Linked DNA regions of Caenorhabditis elegans. The protein of the gene in region 2 interacts with the protein of the main gene of each other region in a pairwise test. Each region holds a gene or a part of one and is shown on either strand. Other genes may lie near its edges.

What was found.
Region 1: the proteins of uig-1 (region 2) and myo-3 interact in a two-hybrid assay, tested with the Caenorhabditis elegans proteins (one study listed by BioGRID).
Region 3: the proteins of uig-1 (region 2) and pat-4 interact in a two-hybrid assay, tested with the Caenorhabditis elegans proteins (one study listed by BioGRID).
Region 4: the proteins of uig-1 (region 2) and unc-95 interact in a two-hybrid assay, tested with the Caenorhabditis elegans proteins (one study listed by BioGRID).

The regions. Positions count from the first base shown.
Region 1 is NC_003283.11:12,231,332-12,236,074, forward strand, and holds the start of myo-3 (Myosin-3), read right to left. Parts: upstream 3,013-4,743; 5' UTR 2,970-3,012; coding exon 2,834-2,969; intron 2,450-2,833; exon of another isoform or gene 2,314-2,449; intron 2,259-2,313; exon of another isoform or gene 2,066-2,258; intron 1,765-2,065; coding exon 1,553-1,764; intron 1,484-1,552; coding exon 1,327-1,483; intron 1,280-1,326; coding exon 980-1,279; intron 882-979; coding exon 353-881; intron 289-352; coding exon 1-288. UniProt on the Caenorhabditis elegans protein: Essential for muscle contraction. Involved in ovulation likely by regulating the contraction of gonadal myoepithelial sheath cells.
Region 2 is NC_003283.11:13,289,386-13,294,003, forward strand, and holds the start of uig-1 (Protein vav), read right to left. Parts: upstream 3,008-4,618; coding exon 2,902-3,007; intron 1,332-2,901; exon of another isoform or gene 1,182-1,331; intron 1-1,181.
Region 3 is NC_003281.10:88,937-96,638, forward strand, and holds pat-4 (Integrin-linked protein kinase homolog pat-4), read right to left. Parts: upstream 5,874-7,702; 5' UTR 5,868-5,873; coding exon 5,772-5,867; intron 5,210-5,771; coding exon 4,904-5,209; intron 4,295-4,903; coding exon 4,198-4,294; intron 3,702-4,197; coding exon 3,556-3,701; intron 2,927-3,555; coding exon 2,671-2,926; intron 2,257-2,670; coding exon 2,163-2,256; intron 1,747-2,162; coding exon 1,488-1,746; intron 854-1,487; coding exon 707-853; 3' UTR 517-706; downstream 1-516. Other genes in the region: mrpl-40 (Large ribosomal subunit protein mL40), read left to right, coding at 133-216. UniProt on the Caenorhabditis elegans protein: Probable pseudokinase that acts as an adapter protein. Component of an integrin containing attachment complex, which is required for muscle development and maintenance.
Region 4 is NC_003279.8:14,380,840-14,386,607, reverse strand, and holds unc-95 (LIM domain-containing protein unc-95), read left to right. Parts: upstream 1-1,870; coding exon 1,871-2,093; intron 2,094-3,221; exon of another isoform or gene 3,222-3,309; intron 3,310-3,563; coding exon 3,564-3,652; intron 3,653-3,702; coding exon 3,703-3,850; intron 3,851-4,510; coding exon 4,511-4,699; intron 4,700-4,749; coding exon 4,750-5,153; 3' UTR 5,154-5,248; downstream 5,249-5,768. UniProt on the Caenorhabditis elegans protein: Required for the assembly and integrity of muscle dense bodies, which establish the adhesion sites of the muscle cells to the extracellular matrix.

The DNA.
Region 1 (4,743 bases), 1.1 Mb from region 2:
TCCTCATCAAGAATAGAGATGATACCGAGTGGTTTCTCAATAAGCTCAATACAGGCTTGAAGATCAAGTCCGAAATCGATGAAGGTCCAGGCAATTCCTTCACGCTTGTATTCTTCTTGTTCAAGAACGAACATGTGATGGTTGAAGAATTGTTGAAGACGTTCGTTGACAAAGTTGATCCAGAGCTGTTCAAAAGAGTTCAAGTCGAAGATTTCGAATCCAGCGATATCAAGCACTCCGATGAAATGCTTACGCTCAATCTCCTTTGCGTCAAGGGTCTTGTTACATCTAAAAGTAAAATAAGTAGAATAATATTTACCCTAATTAAAAATATTTGCTCTTTGTTATTTACCTGGTGATGATCCACTTGAACATACGGGCATAGATAGCCTTGGCAAGTCCAGAAACGGCCCAGTTGACCTGTTCCAAGTTCTGTCCCTTATTGACCCATTCGGTTCCGACACGGACACGTGGCTTGGTCAAAGCCTTGAGGAACTCCTCAGCTTGGATTCCGAGCATGGCAGCAGCGTTGAGAGCATCTTCCTCACCGTCTGGCTCGGCTTGCTCTTCACGTGGACGCTGCTTGAATTTCATTTCTCCCATGTGCATAATTCCAGCAGTGGAACGGTAAAGATCCATAGTCTCGTTGTCTTCGAATCCCATGATATCGAAAGCTTCCTGAGTAAGTCTCATCTCCTCCTTATCATCCATTCCTTCGATGGTAAGCTCGGCCTGCGAGCAGAAGTGATAGTAAGTGATGTCGTTGCTAAGCTTAAGCTTTCCACGGAGACTTGGATCGTTTCCAGACATAATCTGGTAGAAGATGTGATAACAACGCTCTCCTGGTGCCTGACGGACGACACGAGATTTTTCGAGAAGATCTGAAAATATTTTTCTTTTTTGAATGGTTTCACTAGTTTCAATTTAAATTCCTCCAATCTCATTTTTTCTTAAAAACTAATCATAAAAGATCACTCACAGTGTTCAATATCTCCTCCAGCCAACTTTCCAGATCCAGAGAAATGAGTTCTGATGAACTTTCCGAAACGGGAAGAGTTGTTGTTTCTGACAGTTTTAGCATTACCGAAAGCCTCCAACACAGGGTTCGTTTGCACAATTTGCTCTTCAAGAGTACCTCCCTTCTTTCCATCCTTGGCTTCTTTGCCGGAAGCAGCTTGCGTGGCTCCAACAATAGCGAAGTAGGAGATAACCTTCTTGGTGTTCTCAGTCTTTCCAGCTCCAGATTCTCCGGTGATGAGCATAGACTGGTTCTCCTTGTCTGAAATTTGAAAAATAAAGTTCTAAAACAATTAAATTTTCACATACCTTGAACCATGTTACGGTAAGCTTCATCAGAGACAGCGAACAAATGAGGTGGCATCTCATTACGTCTCTTTCCCATGAAGTGCTTGATTACAGATTCACTGTAGATTGGAAGACGTTTGTATGGATTGATTACAACACAGAAAAGTCCGGAGTATGTCTGAAAATTAAGTCGGTTCAATTTTTGAATAGTATTAATTTTTTTTTTGAATAGTTTCAATTTCCTTACGTAAATCATCAAATCCTTGTAACGATCCTTGAGATTTCCCAAAACAGAGGCCTCATTCAAAAAGGTCAAGTTAGCCATATCCTCGGTCTTGTCGAATTTTGGCGGGTTCATCTCTTGGCATTGATCTTTTTTGACGGTAATCTGGTTTCCCTTCACAGTTACCACGGTCACCTGTTCGCCGGTGGTGGATTGGATCTCGGCGGCGACGAATCCTGAAATTTAATATTAGCCTCCAAGAAATATATGTTTTGTCGCATGCGGCTGATTAAAATCAGAATGTTTTATTCGATTATGTCATTTAGTTTTTGTTTCTGTACAAAAATCATTATTGTGAGATTTATAAGTTATAGAACAATCTTTTCTTTTTCATTTTCAAATTTAGTATTTTTGATTTAATCCTAGTTTTATTTGTCATCCTCGAATAATAGATCTGGTCAGAATTACCATTTTATTGACCTTGACTTTTTAAATTCCGATTTCATATCCACATTTCAATATTAAATCTTCAAAACATGTACATATTGTTGTCCATCCATAAAATGTGGGACGTCAAATATCTCAATCTTAAATTCCAAGAAATCTCATCATCTTTCCTGCCAACAGCAGAAGCCGCAGTTCAAACGGCAGGAGAAGCTCTTGCTCCGGCTTCATAGCGTACGTGTGTGCCTGCCCGCTTCTCCGGAAAGATTACAAAGTGCCGTTGTGTGTATGTGTGTATGTGCTTCATCAGATGACCGAGAGATGAGAGAACCTCAGATGTTCAAAAATCCGCCACCACTGGTTGCCCGGCGGGGTCGGTGGAAAGTGTGATGTATCATAGATAAAATGCAGATCTGAGAGACACAGATGAAAGCGTAGGAGAGTAGGATGAATGTGGACACTGGCGATGAGAGAGAAGGTGTAATAATAGTTTTTGTTAATGGAATGGACATAATGAAAGTTAGCTTGAATTGGTTTGGTAAGAATTAGGAAATTGAACAAACAATATCAAAGCAAGAGTTTTAAAGTGTTTTTTGATTAAGATGTTCTGTTTAGATCAAATGAAAAATTTGTATCCAAATTAGTTTCATTAACAGAAAAAAAGTATTTACAAACTTAACCATCATAACTCTTTGCAATACCACTATTGTAACCCTTACATTTTTAGCGTTGACAACTGATTTCTAAAATTAGAACATATCACAGTTACTATTAAAATTATGGGAAAATATTCTTGCCAAATATTACAGCACGTGGTTCAAAATTTTTCTTTAAAATTTTCAATTCGAAATCAAGACTTACCATCTTCTGGATCCGGAATCCAGCAGTTCTTCTTGGAATCAAAAGGACGAGCAGCAGTGGCAGCTCTGGCCTCTCTCGAGATTCCCAAGAATGGGAATCCTGGATCATTTTCGAATGCGTCTGGATTTCCAGACATTTCTAGATGGATCTAGTGGTCGTGGGTTTGATGGCTCCCTGCCCTGAAAATTAGACGGTAAAAGTGGAAGAAGAAGCTGGTTGACAAGCAAAGAATCCAAACGAAATGTGAGAAACAATTGAAATAAAATAGGAAAAAGAAAAATGGAACACTGCTTTTCAGAGATAAAAAAGTTATAGACATTGCTATAAGTTTTTGGAGAACAATGGTAAAGCGTGGTGAGAAGTTTTAGGTTTCAATGGGATTTGAAAGATGAGAGAAGGTATTGAAAAGGGACCTCAATCATCTTTTTGTGCCGTTTTCATAGCATCAAAAACCAGAAGCATGCTTCTTCTTCTTCTTCTTCTTATGTTTCTTCTTATCCTCCCACTCCGGTAGGCTCTCCTCCAATATCAATTGAATTGTATTGAGCCTTCGGAGCGAGTTGTGGGGGAGCAACAGAATCTATACAACACGCACACACATCATCGTTGAAGATAAAGAAGAAGAAAACGGAATCCCGGGAGCTATCCCGCCCTCTCTGCACTCTCTCTCTAATATTCTATTCTTGCTCTTCTATTTTCACTTCGGGAGCCCAACCAACACCTACCCTCCTTCGTTTTCCGATGAACTTGTGTTTAGAGACATAGAGATATCAGAGAAGGGACACAAATTTTGTTTTTAACAAATCGCCGAGAAATTTGAAGAAAGGTGATGAAAAACTGGGTGCTATTGTTAGCCAGTGGGGAATGTAACTGGGAATACCCTAGGGTTATGAAACTTTTCAGTTCTTACACAGGTAAAGCTGGATTTTCCAAATCATCAATCGGTTCCTCTGCAGTCTCGATTAAAATATTTGATATTTTCGTCAGGGATTTTGAAGACAAAAAGTTACTTTTTTCAAAAAAATGTAAAACTGTAAAAGGTAAAAATTTAATAGTTGGAAATATGTGATAACAGAGACGTTTACCTGATGGCAGGAGGTGTGATCCATTATATTCCATTATATTCGCGCACTCTTAACATTACACTAGTGCTATCTGAACAGTTGCGAAGAAGATCACAACAACAGTTTCAGATTTCAAGTTTTCCTGATTGCGCACCGTGTTGTTCATTTAACCATGTTTAAAATTAAATATGAAATAAGGTGCTTTGAATAATTTTTAACGATGCTTGAAAAATAACTTCTTCTACAAAAATGGTTAATTTCTATGTACAATTTTTCTTTTATAAATTATACTGACTCTCAAACCCATTTTTCTGTTCTTTGTTTTCTGTTTTTCATATTTTCTCGACTTGACTGTTTTGCACCCCCTCTGCAATCATTTTTGTTGACCCATACGTTGCCATCACGTACCAAGTCCAAGCTATGGTATCTGTTAGCAACAGTTGTCACTAATCACATGGCTCTTTTTCTCTGTTTTTATTCATTTTCTTCAGTATCTCGTGAAGAAAACAATGTGTTGATTGGTCTTTCAATTCTTGCAACAGATGCATTAGATTCAGGGCGCCGGAAGTGCAAGAAGTGGGCGCTAGTGAAGAATTGAAAAATATGCCAAACATCTGGATAAAAATAAAAAATTAACTTGCAGATAAAGAAAAAACATTGTGGTTGATCAGAAATGATAATTGGTTGGAAGCCAAACTTTAACGTTGGTTGACCAAAAATACATTGAACTAATTGGGTTATTCGTGAAATTAAAACGTATATTTCAGTGCACTTTTTGACTAATTGTAACCTGAAAAATATATATGTATTCCAGAACAGTTTTTGACCTTCTTACTCTTAGAAATC
Region 2 (4,618 bases):
ATCAACAATATAATTTCAAAAATATTTGTGCTTAAATGTCGTGCAAAGCAATAATAAGTTCACTGTTTATATGGTCAATACGACTTCACTTTTTTATTTTCTAAGAGATTTGATGGTTTGGTCATTTGTCTAGCTCAAATTCAATGTTGATTCTAGCACTTCAAAAAGTATCAAAAAATAATCAAAATATTTCTTCTGAAATTTTGTGCAAAATAACAAAGTTCAGTTATTAACAACTTGGATGTCTTTGGTGTTATCAAACATTTGGTGATGTACAAATTGAAATTTTTGGCTTGAAAAAGATTCAAGGAGCAACAGAATTGAAGTGGCAGGTTTGAATTCGAAATCAAATATAATCAACAATTATTTTTTGAAAATGTGAATATCGTTTATCTCCAAACAATTCTCGAGTGCCGGCTTTTCACCGGAGCCGCCGCCATTGCCACCCAGCAGATAACAAATATTCAAATATTTTGTATTAGAAGAGAGATTATTGAATAACATTAGTCGCAGATGTTCTCCTCCACACTTTTCCGCGCACACACATTGTGGTGTAATTGTGGCTTCTAATATTTGACACTTTGAGCATTGAATGAAGGGAGGGAAAGGACGAACAAAAAAGCATTGAGAAAATGCGGCATGATTCCATTCAAGAAAATGGGCCGAGAAATATCTTGACTAAAAGACATTGATGGGTATTCTAGGATTCTGAGAGAAGAAGGAAAATGGAGGGGGGGGGAAAGATGCCATCGAAAACTGACAAATGACATTTTCTGGATGGGAGGTTGTAGTCGTTGTCCAAGTACTTTGCTACACTCAATTTGTTTAGATTACGAACTCATTTACACTTGTTTTTCGTCTATACAATGAAGAAAATGTAACTTTGGGTCAATTTTTTATGGAATTTACAATTTATAAACTATAGCTACTGACTATGATCTGGCAGAATTATTTTGTGGTGCACTTTTTGTCTTCAAAATTTGGTGATGGAAAACCTTGTATTTTGAATTTCAACTAATTACACGATGATGTAACCTATGCTTCAGAAAATTCTTGAAACCAAACAAAAACAATGCAATGCAAAATGTTCATATTCTACGCAATCGGCTGATTACATAAGAATTTTCCTAATCGAAACAATAATAAAACCGTTGCCGCGTCAACATTTAAATAGGCGCGTGAATCTGCGGAAGGGCATCAAAAGAGTTTCGGAGTGTGATGATGGACATAATAAAAATCATAATAATAATAACCATACGCATGGCATCCATGAAAATGCGCATGGGTGGCGTTTGAGGTCAACTTTTGTTGAATTATTATGATGATGTGAACTATTTGGATTTATTATATAAATTCGGAAATTTTGGAATTTCGAGTTAAATGTATATGTAGGTTTAAATGATGACTTGACTAAATTGAAATAAATAATTGTTTAGATTTTGTATGTTTTCAGAAAAAATGGAATGAAAAAATTTATAAAATGGGAAAAAAAAACTTAAATGAGTGTAACAATAAAATTTGGGATATAGTGTTTTGTTAAATTAAGACTATTAACATGAATGTTGGAGGACTGTAGAATTTAGAGAAACTAAATTTTCCAAGCTCCCAAAATGCCTTGCTAAACAAAATCGCTAGGTTGTGAATAAAATATTGACATTTAGGAAGGAAGAGAAAACTAAACAAAGGATGAGGTTATGTTTCCTAAAATTGGATTTAGTATTAGGTCATGCGGATTTTGCAACAAGCGAGAAGGATATGATTATGAGAAATGAAATTGAATTGTAACAACACGAACACGTACAAAATGATAATTTGTAAACTTTTCCTCCACCTTCTCTCTATATATCTCATTTCCTCAAGTTCTCATCAACTACTAAATCTTATGAACACTTGAGGTTCCTTCCAACATATCAAACAAGCTTCTCAATAAAATCAAACAGTTTTTTTTTCTAAACAATCTCACGTTCCAATTTCTCTTTAGTAAATAATAATTGAGAGAGGGCAAAAAATAAAATAAAAACTGCGATGGTTCGATCAAAAAGAGGTGAAAATCAGAAAAGCAAATGATTCGATGTGTGTCATCTCAACTAAAGAAAAAAAGGAAACTGTAGTAAACATCGACACGTTACACGAGAGCCAGGTTAAGAGGATGTAAAACAAACAAAACAATATGTGCCTTGATGATCGGACTTGGAAATTGAAAGTTTCTTTTTTTGTATGTATTTCTAAAGTTTTAATCGGGAGATGCGAAAATTGGTCTTGTAATACCGATGTTTGGTGAGGACTTTAAATGAGTGGGTCTCAAAGTTCGGAAGATCTTGGAAAATGGGAAAAGAGTTGGTAAAAGTTTTGCAGGTGATTTTTGCATTTCGTTTGAAAAACTTCAAAACATGCTCATGAAAATATTCAAATGGTTTACTCAGTACGATATGTTCTTCCTAAATTTACCTAGATAAAATCTGAAACATAAAAATGTTATGAAAAATAAAATAAAATTTATAATTTTTCATGACCCGTTGAATATCGACTCCCCTACGAATCAAAACATGGAACAGACAGAAGCTCAGCTACGTCACATTTGAGGTCAAATTTACAAGGATTGGGTATTTATTCTTCAATGTATGTAAGTTTGAAATAGCTGGTAGGCACGAAGGCAGTAATTTTTATTCCTATATGGATTTTTTTCGAAATTTTATTCAAAATGTCGAGTTTAGGGGAATGTTTTTTTTAAGTTTTTTGAGAGTAGAAATTATTAATATCTGATAAACTTTAGCCATTTTAAAAAAATTTAGCTTGCTTTTCTAATTGAATACTACATATTGAAAACAAAAGAGAGTTTGACAAATATGAAAAAAATCGAATCACAATAAAAAACTATTTTACGTTAAAAAAAAATCACACCTTGTAATTGAACAGTCGGCTCATCGTCATTTGCACATTCAGAGAACTGTTGCTTATCTTCGTAGTAGCTGAATCTCCTGCGGAACCAGGAAAATCCAATCGACATTGCACCTTCAGAGAGAGTAAGATTTAAATCGGTAAAAGAAACGAAAGAAAATTGAAAGATTGAACGGTAAAGGAAGTTGGCAGTTTCAAAATAAATCTTTTGATTTCTTGCTTTAATCCTATTAACTGGACTTGAAACCGAAGAAATGGATACCTAGGGTAAAAACTTGAAACAAAGTTCCACAAGCAAGGTTTTTCATCAAATTATAGCATTAATGTTCCACTTTTTTGCGTCTTGTTTTCTGGTCAAATTCTATTCGGTTTCTATTCAAAGCCGATGAAACATGGGAAATTCAGAAAATTGTGGGAATATGATCGCATCGGAAATACAAGTAATTATAGGGGGATTGACCGAAGAAACGTCGCTCTAGCGTTCAGAAACCTTCTGAACCACGCGAAGGAACAAATAAATTGGCACAATAAGAAGATGTTGAAGTCAGTGAATACCAAACGGAAGATTGAAAGTGGTGGTGGTGGTAATGTAGGAATGTAAGAAAGAAGAGTCAACTTGATACTTGTGCGCAGGGTTCGTCACACTACTTGGTCCCGTATTTACACTCCTAATACGGCCCGTGCGGAGTTTTAATACCAAACGAGAGAGGTAAACTGTGTTGCCAAAGAGCAATCGGAGGAAGATGCTCCCTTTTGAATTACCGCAATTCCTTTATTAATATGATTGCTAATAGTAAGATAATTTTCAAAGACCGTCGTTATTGCTAGACCAATGCATTTAAAATTTTTGGTTGCTCATCTGAAATTAGTAGTTTATCAATTCCAAAAATTCAATTTCTTGGCTTTTCATGAATTAACTGGAATCATCGAACAAGAATAATAATAACAAAAAAACCTCCGTTCAAAATAGGTAAGTAGCTATTTTTTTAAAGGTATTATAGGCATAATAGTAATAGAAGAAAAACGGTAGAAACCTTATTTAAAAAATTGAAAATAATTGTATCAAAAGTTATAAAACTAGTTTTTTAACAACTGTATTCTTAGAAAAAAAGCTATCCACCTCTAAACGGTCTCCACAGAATAAAGAAGAACAAGCTCATCTTCACCAAATGTTTATTGCCTTGTTTCGGTTTCGGTTCAGTTTATAAGTGGTTGGAGGATTATCGGAAAGATTCACTAGTTCTATATTCTGAATAAGAAATGTGCAAATAGATGAACAACTCTTACGGACAGAGTTCATGAATGAGGGCAATGCTGGAAAGTGTCAATAATGCTTATCAGCTTATTTTACGTTTTTTGGGCTGATGTTAAACCCTTTTTTTAGAAGTACCATTTTTGAATAGATGAACGCAATAAAAAATAATTTTGTGGGGAATACCAATGATATATTTTTTTAGAAAAGTAGTAAAATTATGTAGCATGTTCACCATTTAAAATAATTTAGTTTCGGGATTGCCAACTTTTTGCAAAGTTGAAACAAAAAGAGCTCACGATTTAAAAAAATTAGGTTTTTATTTCGCCAAAAATCACTAGCCTCGAAGCCATTTAGGCAATATGAAATCAAAAACCAAAAAGTCTTTCAAATAGCAGTTCCCTATTATTTTATGTGACTTGTCAATTGGAAAATTGTGAGAAAAGAAAAAACAAAGCTATAAATCTG
Region 3 (7,702 bases), on a different chromosome or scaffold from region 2:
TGAAAACTCACTGACATTTTGCGAAAAATTCCGAAAATTGGTTAAAAAATTTTTTTAAAAAACCTGGAATTTTCCAAATTTTTTTTTCTAAAAATTAAAAAATTCCGAAAAATCCTTTAAAATTTCTTACAGGGACCCTCACTGACTCCGCCCATTCGAAACTACGAGGCTCCGGACGGCGACTACATTGATACTACGAGAAATTGGGCATCTTAGAGCCGAAAATTGTTGATTTTTATGTGTTTTATGGGTATTTTTGTTGTAGACAGTGACATAGGATGACGCATTAATAAAGGAATTATCGATTTTTATGGAAAAAACTAAAAATTTCAGTGAAACCGAGCTGGAAAAAATAAATTTGCCACTGCGGGGATCGAACCCAGGCCCTGTGATTGGCGGGCGAGGTCACTAGCCACTAGGCTACACGTGCAAATTTTTGGCAACTGATTATTTGGATACATGAAACTTACTGCAGCGAACTTTTTTGTCGAAGAGTGTTTGCGTACAGTAATCCTTACATTTCATAAGATTTTATTGATTTTTTCATAAATTGAGCAATTTTTTTTGACAGTTTAACATTTAAAATTAATATATAGACGGAAAATGCGATGGGGCTGGACAAGGAGCAGGCACTTTTGATGTAAAGCTTTGATAAATTGAATTTTAAAAAAATTGTTGAAAACATTAGAAAAGCAAAATCGATAAATCATAATATCATTCTCTCTAAAATCGGAATGATTTGATCAAAGTTTGGCCGACGTCCCGGGTCCTCGTTCATGCAAATGTTCATCAAACGGTTCATATTACGGGCGATTCCAGGGGGAATGTGCACTCGGAGACCTTCCAGAGCGATCTGAAATTAATAAATTTGGATTCAGCGTGAAATTTGGGTCTGGAAACGCTGATTTTGGAGGTGTAAGGGGTACTGTAACCCTAAAAGTACGCAAACACTGAATCTGACGACGACTTGCAGAAAAGCGGTGGAAAATGAGTTTTTTGAGTTTATTGAGGTAGAAAGTGACGGGAAATTCAAATTTTTTGATAAAAATTATATTTGATCAAAATTATACGAAGAAATTCGAATTTTTTGACAAAATTTCAGAAAAAAATTTTGATTTTATCTCAAAATGTCAACAAACTGTGGTTCAATTCGAATTTCTCGCAAAATTTTGAGCGTGGTCAGTCGTTACTAGACGTTTCTATTCCATTTTCAGGGCTTTCGGGGTACTGTAGTCTCGGAAGTACGCAAACACCGAATCTTACGACATTGAGCCCAAACGAGCTAAAAAATGTTGTCACGGCCTGTTTTGAGCTTCTGAGTTTGAATTTAAGAATGAACACTTTTGAAAAAAATAATAGAAAAACAATTTTTTTTGGGCCAAAAAAAAATTTTTTTCCAAAATTTCATCCGAAATTAACTGATAGATTAATTTTAGGATTTTAACATCATTTTTCACACTTTCAGCCCTCCAAAAACCCTCCCTTACCTTCATTCCGCATTCCATTGGCGGTAGATCAGAGAATGGGACCTCACGAGTGTTCAGCTCCCACAACAATATAGCAAATGACCACATATCGGCAGCTCTAATATTCAAGTCTTCTGGAGCCCGTGACAAGGCTTCTGGGCTCATCCAGGCAGGCGAATAGGCTTTTCCGACCTCTTGGAACGAGAATTTCGTATCTGCCATTGAGAGTTTGGCGGTGAGCTCCTCGTCGACTACAACGTGTTTGGAGGAGAGGTAGAACCTGGAAACTGGGCTTTAGGCTTATGATAGCTTAAATTATCTGAAACTCTAAAATTAGTTAAGAAACGTAAAAAAATGGGGGGAAAATTAAAAAATTAAAAAAAAAAAAAAAAAAAATTTTTTTTAAGTTTTTTTTCGAGTAGTGCCCCAAAAACTCTTGGATTCCTGAAAACAATTTTTGAAAATTTTTGTTGTAGCTACTTTTCGAAGAACATTATTTCAGGCACATTTTAAGCCAAAAACCGTTTGAAAGTATCAAAAACTAAAAAAGTTATGAACTTTTGAAATTTGGAAAAAAAAATCCAAATTTTTTTAAAAACATAAAATTCAAATTTTCCCGCCAGAAAAATGGGCGGAGCCTATAAAAATTTATACTTTTCTGGGAGCTCTTTTTAAGCTCCATTCAACCACACTAACCTCAAAAGCATAGGGTCCAAACTGTGCAAGTAGCTCATTCCTCTAGCAATGTCCAACGCGAATCTGACGGCTTGCCCGTGATCAATGACGACAGCTGCAATATTTTATTGATTTTATTAAATTATTTCAGCGATTTTTCACAAATTAATGTCAAAATCTAATAGATCTCGTTAAGAGCTTTCAGAAAAGTATAATCATGCCTAGGCTCCGGCCATTTTAGCATGAATTCGAGAATTTTTGGGTCTCGCCACGAAAACTGTTGGGTTACTGTAGATAAGTTATCTAATATGATATTGATAATTTTACTAAAAAGACAATTTTTTGAGTTATCTGTGCGCAGTATTTTAACAAAAAATCTCAAAAATTGGGAAAAGTACAAATTTTGAAAAAAAAAAATTTATCAAAAAAAAATTTTTTTCTACTTTTTCGAAATCAAAAAAAAAAATTTTCAAAACATTTTCTAGGACTAATTTTTGCGCCCTTTTCAATGAAAACCTTCAAAACTCACAACTTTGCTCGTGGAGCACGTTATACAGGCTTCCAAATGGCATGTACTGCGAGATGATCACCAAGTTCGGTGGCTGGTTAGCCGCGGCGAGCACCGCACAAATATTCGGATGAGCAAAAATACGAAGAGCCGGAAACTCGGTCTGGAAGTCACGTGAGATACGGGCGGTCACTTCTTGAACATTCAAAATTCGCGCCACAATATCGTTGCCCTGCCATTTTCCACGCCACAGTTCTCCGGAGTGTGATTCAGCGATCTGTAACAGAGTGGGGGTTAAGCTGGAAATTTTTGGGATTTTTAAAGTTTGAGGTAGCTTATCAAGTTCATCTTGATCTAGACTTTCAGAAAAGTATACATTTACTCAGGTCAAAAAAAATTTTTATTTCGAAAATGAAGTTTTTTTTTCAAACATTTCAAATCTTAATAACTTTGCCAATTTTTAAGATTTTTTGCAGATTTTTGACATAAAACACGTATAAAATATTGAAAAACAGTATTATTTATATTAAATAATAATATACACTACGGTAAGTGAATTCTGGAAGTTTACGTAGCGGGTTCCAATTTTCGACGAGTTTTTGAGTCCCACCGCGAAAATCCATAGTGTTAAGCTGTTTTGTGTCAATACAGTATTTTAATATTTTATTGACGTAGAACAAGTTTTTGTGCATATTTTGAGGTTAAAACCGGCTGAAAATCTCAAAAACAGTCAAAGTTATGATTTTTTCAATGTTTGAAAATTTTCCTTAAAAAATTTTTTTTTTCGAATTTTTTCAGAAACTTCGAAATTCGCGGAAAATTCCCATCCTTCAACGATTGAAACTAATTTTTTACGCTGAATTTGAATTTTTAAGTTATTTTCCACTGAAAAAATCTATAACCCACTTTAGTGATCAAATTCAGCGAGGAGACGTCGACTCCGGTGTAGCGGGACAGTGTGGCGTCCCGAGTACGGGACTTTGTACCCTTCCATGTGGTATCCTTGAATGGTACACGGTCATTTGGAGATTGTCCATGTTCTTGAGCAATTTCTAGAAAAAATCGATAATTTAAAAATTTATTAGAAAAAAGTCATCCCAAAAAAAAAACTTTTTGCGAGTCAAAAGTCTTTGCTGAAAAAAACATTAAATTTTTGTACACATTATTTTTAAGTATCAAAATTAAATTTTGCTCACCAAGAGCTTTCTGAAAAGTATAATCATGCCCAGGCTCCACACAAAATGAGCATTGCCCAGAAGACTTCAGAATTTTTGGGTCTCACCACGAAAACTTATAGGGTTACTGTAGTTTATGTTTTTCAATTTTTTAAGTTAATTTACCAAAAAGCTTGATCTTTTAGACTTATTTTAACGTTAAATTAAATCGAATCGCTTGAAAACTAAAAAGTTATGAGTTTTTGAAAAGTTGTAAAAATGTTGAAAAATGTTTTTTTTTTCAAAAAATGCATTTTTTCTTCTAAAAATCTTATCTATATGTTTTCCGACTAAAAAAATTCAATTTTCAGATTAAAATGCACAAAAAACTTACCCAAAATAGTGTTTTTGCACATTGGCTGGCAAACGTCCAGTGGGGTCATTCCCTTCTTGTTGCACACGTTGACAGCGGCGCCGCAGGAGATTAGGTCCTGAAGTTGTTATTTTGCAAGAAATCAAGGTAATTATTAACAAATTCAAATTCAGCTTGTTAAGAGCTTTCAAAAAAGTATAATCATGCCCGGGTTTTGAAAATTCTACAAATTTTCGATAAATTTTTGGGTCCCGCCACGAAAACTCCCAGGGGCTACTGTAAATAGGGACTTTTTGTGTTTTTGGTATAATAAATTGAAATTTTAAAATATTTAGGACGCAAGTATGAAAACATAAAAAAAAATAGCCAAAAAACTTCCAAAGTTATAAAGTGTTGAAAAAATGATTTTTTTTTCAGAAATTTTTTCCGGCAAAAAAAAGCTCAAAATTTTTGGTCAAAAGTGGGCGCATCCTTTATGAATTTATACATTTATTAAAGCTCAAATCTAGTTATATTTGATTATAAAAATAATTTCACCTAAACTATACATTTTCATTGCGAAATTAAAACTTTCCGAGAAGAACTTATTCGAAAATTTGGAAAAAAAATTTTCTGAATTTTTTGAAAAATCATTTTTTTCCAATTTTCCCAAAAAATTTTCCCAATCGAGTTTATACTTATTTTGAAGCTCTAAACAAGCTCTATTCGAATTTATCAATAAAATCACCTCAGCAATTTGTTCATATCCCCAAAAGCAAGCATAATGCAGTGGAGTCATTCCGTGCTCGTTGGTAGCGTTAACATCGGCTTTTCTCGACAAAAGCTTCACCACAATTTGTCGGTGTCCATGGGCGGCCGCCAAATGCAATGACGTGTCATCTCCCATATTCGTAGAGTTTACACGTGCTCCACGTGACAGGAGCATCTCTGCAATCGCCACGTGGCCGCCCTTCGCGGCCCAGTGGAGCAGTGAGAAGGCGTGATCGTCTCCGACGTTGAGATCGTGCTCGTGATCGTCCAACCAGACGCGGACCTGAAATTTTGATAGTAGTCTTAGTCTATAGTAAGGATTGTGATAAATCCTCTGCAAAAAAATTGGACAATTTCGGTGAAAGTTGATCAAGTTAGCATGAAAAGAAAAATCGGACAAAAATTACCGGAAATTCCAGATTTAAGCTTAAAATCTAGCTTTAAACTTGATTTTTCAAATTGGCAACAATTTTTTTCAAATTCAGCTTAATTTTAACTTTTAGAAAAGTATAAATTTGTATAAGCTCCGCCATTTTAAATAGGAATTTAAATTTAAAAAAAAAAAATTTTTAATGAATTTTTTTTTTAGAAAATCTCAGAATTTCGGATTTAAATTTAAATTTTTTTAATTGAGGAAAAACATTAACTTTCAAAAAAGTATAAATTCATATACGCTCCGCCCACTTTTCAGCGAAAAAATTTGAATTTTTCTAGAATTAAAAAAAATAATTTCCAAACATTTTCAATTTTTTTCCAAATTTTTTTTTTCAAAAACCTATACAAAATTATACTTTTTCAAAAGCTCTCATCGAGCCTAACCCCATAAAAATATTTACAAAACTCACCTGAAAAGCGTTACCCTCGCGGACCCATCCAAACACATCCTCCATTATAATGGGCACATTTGGCTTGTGCGCATGGTAATGAGTCGACAAAGACATTGTTGACTGGAAATATAAGGTTTTACGTGTGAAATAGTGTAAAATTTGAAAAAATCAAGAAAAATTGAGCAGGAACATGTAAAATTACAACAAAAAAAATCGGTGAAAATTGAAGAAAAAAACTATTAAAAAATCAATAAAAATCTCCAAAAATTTCCAAATTTTCTCAATTTTTCCAACTTTTTCCCGGGCCCCATGAAGCCCGGAATCTATAATTTCAAGCCAAAAAAGTTAGATATAAGAGACATAGACAAATAAACAATGCAATAAGTACAACAGAAAGCAGTAGAATTTTGCTGAGGCGACGGCATGGGGGGGGGGGGGTCAACATTGTTCCCCCGCTGGCCAGGCGAGATAGTAGAGGACTATGTAGGAGACGCAGAGAACAAGACGAAATTTGTTGTAAATGTATGTATTGTGGAGAGGGAGTAGTATCCCGCGCAGAGAACAAACGGCAAGCGATTGTGGGATATCTTTTCGTTGACCATTCCGTCGTCTAGAGGTTGGCTCAGAAAAAGCTCTGAAACTTCGCTTGAAATGAGCTTCTGGTCTTGAATGCTAAGAATTTGAAAAGATGAGAATTCGGGCTTTCAGAAAAGTACAAATTTGCCTGGATTTTGCCTGAAAATTTTTATCAAAAAACCGGCAAATTCGCTTCTAGGACATTTTCCAATTTTACCTTTCACAGCTAACTCCTGAAAAAGCTCTAAAATTTGGCTGAAAACGAGCTTCTGGTCTTGAAAATTCAAAATTTGAATAGGAAAATTTCCGAGCCATCAGAAAAATATTAATTTATGGTAACTTTCTCTTAAAAATTTTGAGGAAATCGTAATTTTTGCTCTGAAGCTCCGCAGCGAGTTTCAGAAGAATTACTGTAACTTGGCTGAAAATAGTTCGACAAAGTTATACCTAGTTTCATTAAATTAAGCAGTTTAAGGGTTTTCAGAATAGTATAAATTTGCTAAAAAAGCTTTAAAAAACCCCAATATTCCAAAGGACTTTTTTGATTAAAAAAGTAATTCAAAAAAAATTTTCACGTTATTTCAAAGCCCCCATCGCACATTTTTGTGCCCAAAAGATCTGTAAATTTTTCCTCTACAGCACTGAAAAGTTATGTATCAATTCCTGTAAAAACTCTTGAAATTCCTAGCGTTTTCGTGGCGGGACCCAAGTTTTTTTAGCAATTTTCTTCTCAAAGACTGGGTTTACAAAATACCTGAACCCGGAGCATAACGAAAAATTGTGAAGCTTAACAAAGTTACCACTTCACAATTGCAGCACTAAAATTCAATGACGTTTTTCAGACAAAAAACCATTTTCAGACGCTTTTCCCAAAACAGCCAAGAAAGGGCCTAACGTGGCCTAACATCCCAAAATTTTGCCACGTGGCAGAAAAATAACGGAATATCATATCACTAGAAAGTATATCATAAAATTGAGTTGGTTTTGAGGGGGCGAGAAGCTCATCGGAAGAAGGTATTCAAGAACATTTGAGAGAAAGAGAAGAGACGGGGGAGAGAGAGTGTGAAATGCAGTGAGAGACGCAGAGATTTGGTTCCCGTGGGAGTCGTGTGAGTTAGAGATAAAGAGATATGGAGAGAGATAGGAGACGCAGAGAAGCAGGGACGGATGTTGTAACACGATTCTCGGATGGAAACTGAGCATTGATGATGATGATGCCAAGGATTTTGGGGACCGGGAGGGTTGCGTAGAAAATTATTGATTTTCTGACAATTCCAGCGGGGGGAGTCGGAGTGTCCCATTTCGGTTTGATCTACGTAGATCTTCTACAAAAAATGCGAGAGAAGAGCCGCAGAGTGTTCTCAACTGATTTA
Region 4 (5,768 bases), on a different chromosome or scaffold from region 2:
TTTTCGACAACTCGGCAAATTCCGAAATTGAAACTGTCCGGCAAATCGGCAAACCAGCAATTTGCTGAAATTGAAAAATTCGGGAAACTTGGCAAACCGGAATATTGCCGAAAATAAAAATTTCCGGCAAGTCGGACAAACCGGCAATTTGCCGGAATTGAACATTTTCGACAACTCGGCAAATTCCGAAATTGAAACTGTCCGGCAAATCGGCAAACCAGCAATTTGCTGAAATTGAAAAATTCGGGAAACTTGGCAAACCGGAATATTGCCGAAAATAAAAATTTCCGGCAAGTCGGACAAACCGGCAATTTGCCGGAATTGAACATTTTCGACAACTCGGCAAATTCCGAAATTGAAACTGTCCGGCAAATCGGCAAACCAGCAATTTGCTGAAATTGAAAAATTCGGGAAACTTGGCAAACCGGAATATTGCCGAAAATAAAAATTTCCGGCAAGTCGGACAAACCGGCAAATTGCCGGAATTGAACATTTTCGACAACTCGGCAAATTCCGAAATTGAAACTGTCCGGCAAATCGGCAAACCAGCAATTTGCTGAAATTGAAAATTTTCGACAAATCGGCAAACTGCCGGAATTGAAAATTTCCGGCAACTCGGCAAACCGGCAATTTGCCAAAAATGAAAAATTCTGGAAACTTGGCAAACCGGAAAATTGCCGAAAATAAAAATTTCCGGCAAGTCGGACAAACCCGCAAATTGCCGGAATTGAAAATTTCCGGCAAACCGGCAAATTCCGAAATTGAAATTGTCCGGCAACTCGGCAAACCGAAAATTTGCCGATTTGCCCAGTTTTTTTTGCTATTACCGCCCACCCCTGAGCTATATACAAATGTTGTTTTAAAAAATTTATAAGACCGTGTAACAAATTGCTTGTCAGTTGGCAGTTTTTGGGGATTTTGTCTAAATACACTTATATCATAAGAAAAAAAATCCAAAAAATCCAAACATATCATAATAAAGCACTCCAAAATTTTTTAGATTTTCCATAATTTCCGGTCAAAGTTTTGGCACATTGCCAAAATTTTGAAAACTACGAGATTTTGAGGAAATTTATAAAAATGTCGCATGTTTCGACCCCTACAATGTTTTAATTCAAATAATTTAAACAAAATTGTATTAAAAAGTATTAAAAAAATTGGAAATTTTTTTTTTTTTTTTTGAATCAATCGACCTCCAAAATAATGAGTGGCAAAACTGAGTAATCACTACAGTCACTACTTTTTGACAGTAAATAAAAAATTTTCAAAAATTTTTTGAAAAGTTTTATCATGATATTTGGTCATTTTTGGACCAAAGGAGTGGTTTTTAATAATTTCCCCACTGGCGCTACTCCACCTTTAATTACCGTATAGTATACGTGCATAGTATTATGGTACTAGTTAATACCCTAACTCACGGTAACAAATTCAAAAAAAAAAGAGCAAAAAATTCAAATAATTTCAACAAATCGATCTTTGTAGACTCCTCGATCTTCGTCTCTATCTCTCATTCCTCATTGTCTTCTCCTCACCATCATCTGCCGGGCAGATTCTGCCCCCGCAGTAGCCTGCTCTCTTCTGCCGGTGAGAGCATATGTTGTAATATATTTCTGTTGCTGCTTCTTGCTTTCCTCTCCCTTCATACACATCAGTGTACCACTGCTGTGTCGATTTTCCTCTACGTTTTCCTTTACACGAATTTGAACTAACACGATTTTTTTCTTTATTTGTTGTATTATACTTTTTTATTTAGACACCTAGAATTTAGGTGCACACTAGTTAAATATTGAAAATGCCATTATTAACCTCTTACTCAGTCTCACAGAAAAACCCAAAAATGTTCACCTCCTCCTCCTACTCAAAATTCCAGATGACTATATCCCCTCAACCCAGCCATCAACAATTCGAATCTTATCAATGGACTACGGAATCTCGTAGTAGTCAACAGAGACATGGCACCGGGACCCCGTCTCAGGATGGTCGGCTCTCTGCGATTCCGGATCCTGTGGAGCGCCACGTGGCCCGGTGGCGTAGTGAGAGCAGGAATTCCAATAAGGATAAGGTGTTCCGTAATGATGAGGAGTTTAGTCAACGTGAGTCGAAGTTAGGGGGTCCTCTGGGGGGGGGGGGGGGGGGTATGTTAAACTAATGGGAAATGTTAAACTAAAGAATTGAGGTGTAATACTCAATTAACTTTGAAAATAACAAAATTTTGTGTTAACTATACTAGAATGTCAAAATTAACAGAAAATGATTGGATTTTACCCAAAAATGGTCCAATTTTGACTGAAAACAGTCGGATTTAGACCAAAAATTGTCCAAAATTCGCCCAAAAATCTATCATTTTTGGTTTAAAAAGGTCGGATTTTGACCGAAAATAGTCCAGTTTTGATTGAAAATAGACCAATTTTAACCAAAAAATGGTTTCATTTCGATCACAAATTATCTAATTTTGACCAAACAATTGTTATGTTTTTACCAATAAATGGTTTGAATTTGACCAAAATGGTCCAATTTTGACTGAAAACAGTCGGATTTAGACCAAAAATTGTCCAAAATTCGCCCAAAAATCTATCATTTTTGGCTTAAAAAGGTCGGATTTTGACCGAAAATAGTCCAGTTTTGATTGAAAATAGTCCAATTTTAACCAAAAAAATGGTTTCATTCCGATCACAAATTATCTAATTTTGACCAAACAATTGTTATGTTTTTACCAATAAATGGTTTGAATTTGACCAAAATGGTCCAATTTTGACCAAAAATTTACCGATTTTTAACAAAAAAAAGCCGGATTTGAACTAAAAATTGACCGATTTTAACCAAAAATTGACCGATTTTAACCAAAAATTGACCGATTTTAACCAAAAATTGACCGATTTTCACCAAAAATTGTCTGATTTTGACCAAAAATTGACCGATTTTCTCCAAAAATTATCTGATTTTGACCAAAAAGTAGTCCGATTTTGACAAAAATTGCACGTTTTTGACCAATTTTGACTGAAAACAGTCGGATTTAGACCAAAAATTGTCCAAAATTCGCCCAAAAATCTATCATTTTTGGCTTAAAAAGGTCGGATTTTGACCGAAAATAGTCCAGTTTTGATTGAAAATAGTCCAATTCCGATTTTGATCAGAAAAGTTGGATTTTGACCAAAAATTGTACGATTTGGATCAAAAACGGTCCCTATTAATTTGCTAGTTTTGAGCAGTTAAGCATTAGGTTTAGGCTTAGGCTTAGGCTTTGACTTCGGTTTAGGCTTAGGCTTAGGCTTTGACTTCGGATTAGGCTCAGGCTTAGGCTTAGGCTTAATTTCTATACCTAATTTTCTTATTTCCGTGCCATTTTTTAGCTAGACCTTCCCACAGGAATTTCGGATTTTCAGCTAAATTTTGATTCTCAACATCAGATTTTATTCAAAATTTGCTTATAAAAGAGTCATTTCCAACTTTCTTATGCAGCCGTTTTTTAAGGAAATACCCAAAAAAAAAGTGGTGCACATTTTTAAGCAACAAACCTCTCAGATCATCAAAATCTCTCTGTCTCTATCCCTTACATTTTGCAGAAGACGAGATCGTTAATGGAACACTTACCGCGTTGAAAAACGATGTCGAGCAGACGACCGAGATCATTCGTCGCAAACAAGAACAGATGGTATCGATTTTTTCAGATCTTGTGCGGGAATACATTGAAATTTGTTTCAGAGAATGGAACGTCGTCAATTCCAAACCGAGATGGAAGTCAATGGTAGAATCTCGATTGATCCGACCGACGATTGGCTGGCCGCAAGGTTGAAAGCTGTTAGCTCGGATGACATGAATCAGCAGCTTGTCAAGCTGAAACAGGATCAGAGTAAGATCTCGTTAGAACCCTTAATAGGTTCAGATCGCATCTATAATCTGCTACATAATTCTTTCTAGGCTTTAGGGCACATCTAGATTCCAGCTAGGTCTATCCATAGCATTCGATCATATTTAGACTCCGTATTATGCTTCAGACATTATCCAAAGCCTATGCTAGGCCTCAGACTCCACCTAGACCCCATGTAAGCTTCAGAAGCCATTTTAGCTTCAGTCCCGTCAAGGCCCTTCCTAAGCATCAGATCCAACATATGCCCTATCCTAAGCATCAGAACCACTTCTCCCCCATTCTGAGCCTTTGACTCATTTAGACGTTGTCCTTGGCTTCAGGCCCCTCTAGACCATATTCTGAGCTCTAGATTCCAGCTAGGTCTATCCAAAACCTTCGATCTTACCTAGGCTCCGTATTATGCTTCAGTCCTCATTCAAGTCCTATCCTAAGCCCCTGATCCCATCTAGGCCCCATATCAAGCTTCAGGCCCCTCTATGCCCTTCCTAAGCATCAGATCTCATATAGACCCTCCCTAACCCTTTCTAAGCTTCAAGCCTAATTCAGACCTTACCTAGACCTCCAACAATAGCTTTAGGGCCCAACTGGACCTCCTCCCCCAGCTTCAGGTCTGTTCTTAACTTTCACCGAATCCATTTTCAGGACAAAACGCGGTGACCGACACATTGGCGGCCCTTGTTTACGATGTCAACGCCACGACTGAAGTTTTGCGTCGTGGACAACGTGGACGTGACGGTGAAGATGGAAATAAGAAGAAGAAGGAGGAAATCGAGTACACCTTGAGACTTACACCGGCACCAGAGGAACAAATCCCGCAGAGGCCAAAGATTCGTGAGTTTTCAGAACTTGGACCAAAAAATGTAGAATTCGAAAAATTCCAGCAGAGGACGACAATATGGAGACAGACGACTACTCCCGCCAATACGGAGTCCAAATGTCCGAGGAGACCGATAGCCTGCGCCGCCGCCGCGCCCGAAGCACAACTCCCCGCCGAACGCTCCACATCTCCGGCTCCCCACCGCCACCGGCCGCCGCAGTCTGCGCTTACTGCAGTGAAGAAATCGACGGCGCGATTCTGACAGCGTTGGCGCCAAACTCGGAACGGGCACAGAAATTCCATACCTATCATTTCATGTGCACATATTGTCAGAAGGCACTCAACATGCATGGAACCTACAGAGAACATGATCTGAAGCCATATTGTCATGATTGCTTCTACAAGTTGTATAATGGATTGCAATACGCTCCGGATGATCATCAAGCTTCCATTGAGAAACTCATTTAAATCACTACACATTTTGTTTAGTAATGATATATATGTGTGTTTATCTGTTATCTTGCAAAATATACACGAATTATGAAAAAAATCCTAATAATAATCAAAGATTTTCTTAAATTCAGATTCATGTGTGTGAAATAATGGGGAAAACCATCAAAATTCATTGAATTCTTGCAAACTATGTGTTAAAATAGTAAAGGTTATAGTTCTCTTAACTGATCTGAACTATGTGGAAAATTGAGCTAGGCACTCTAAAGCGAGCAAGCGTATTTTAAATACCTACTATGTCGATATTGAAACATATGTATAGCTTATATTAAATACCAATAGCAATGTTAAAAACTTATAGCGTATATTAAAATTCATAACGATATTAAAGATCTATGGCGTATATTATGAACCTATGGGGGTATTTAGAACTTACAGTGTATATTAAATACTTATGTATAGCGTATATTAAAGAACTATAGCAAATATAAATACCTATAGTGTATATTAAAAACCTATAGCGAATATAAAATACCTAAAGTGTATATTAAGAACCTATAGCGTATATTAAAATTTATAACGATATTAAAGACCTACAGCAGTGTATATTAAATACTTATGTAAAGCGTATAT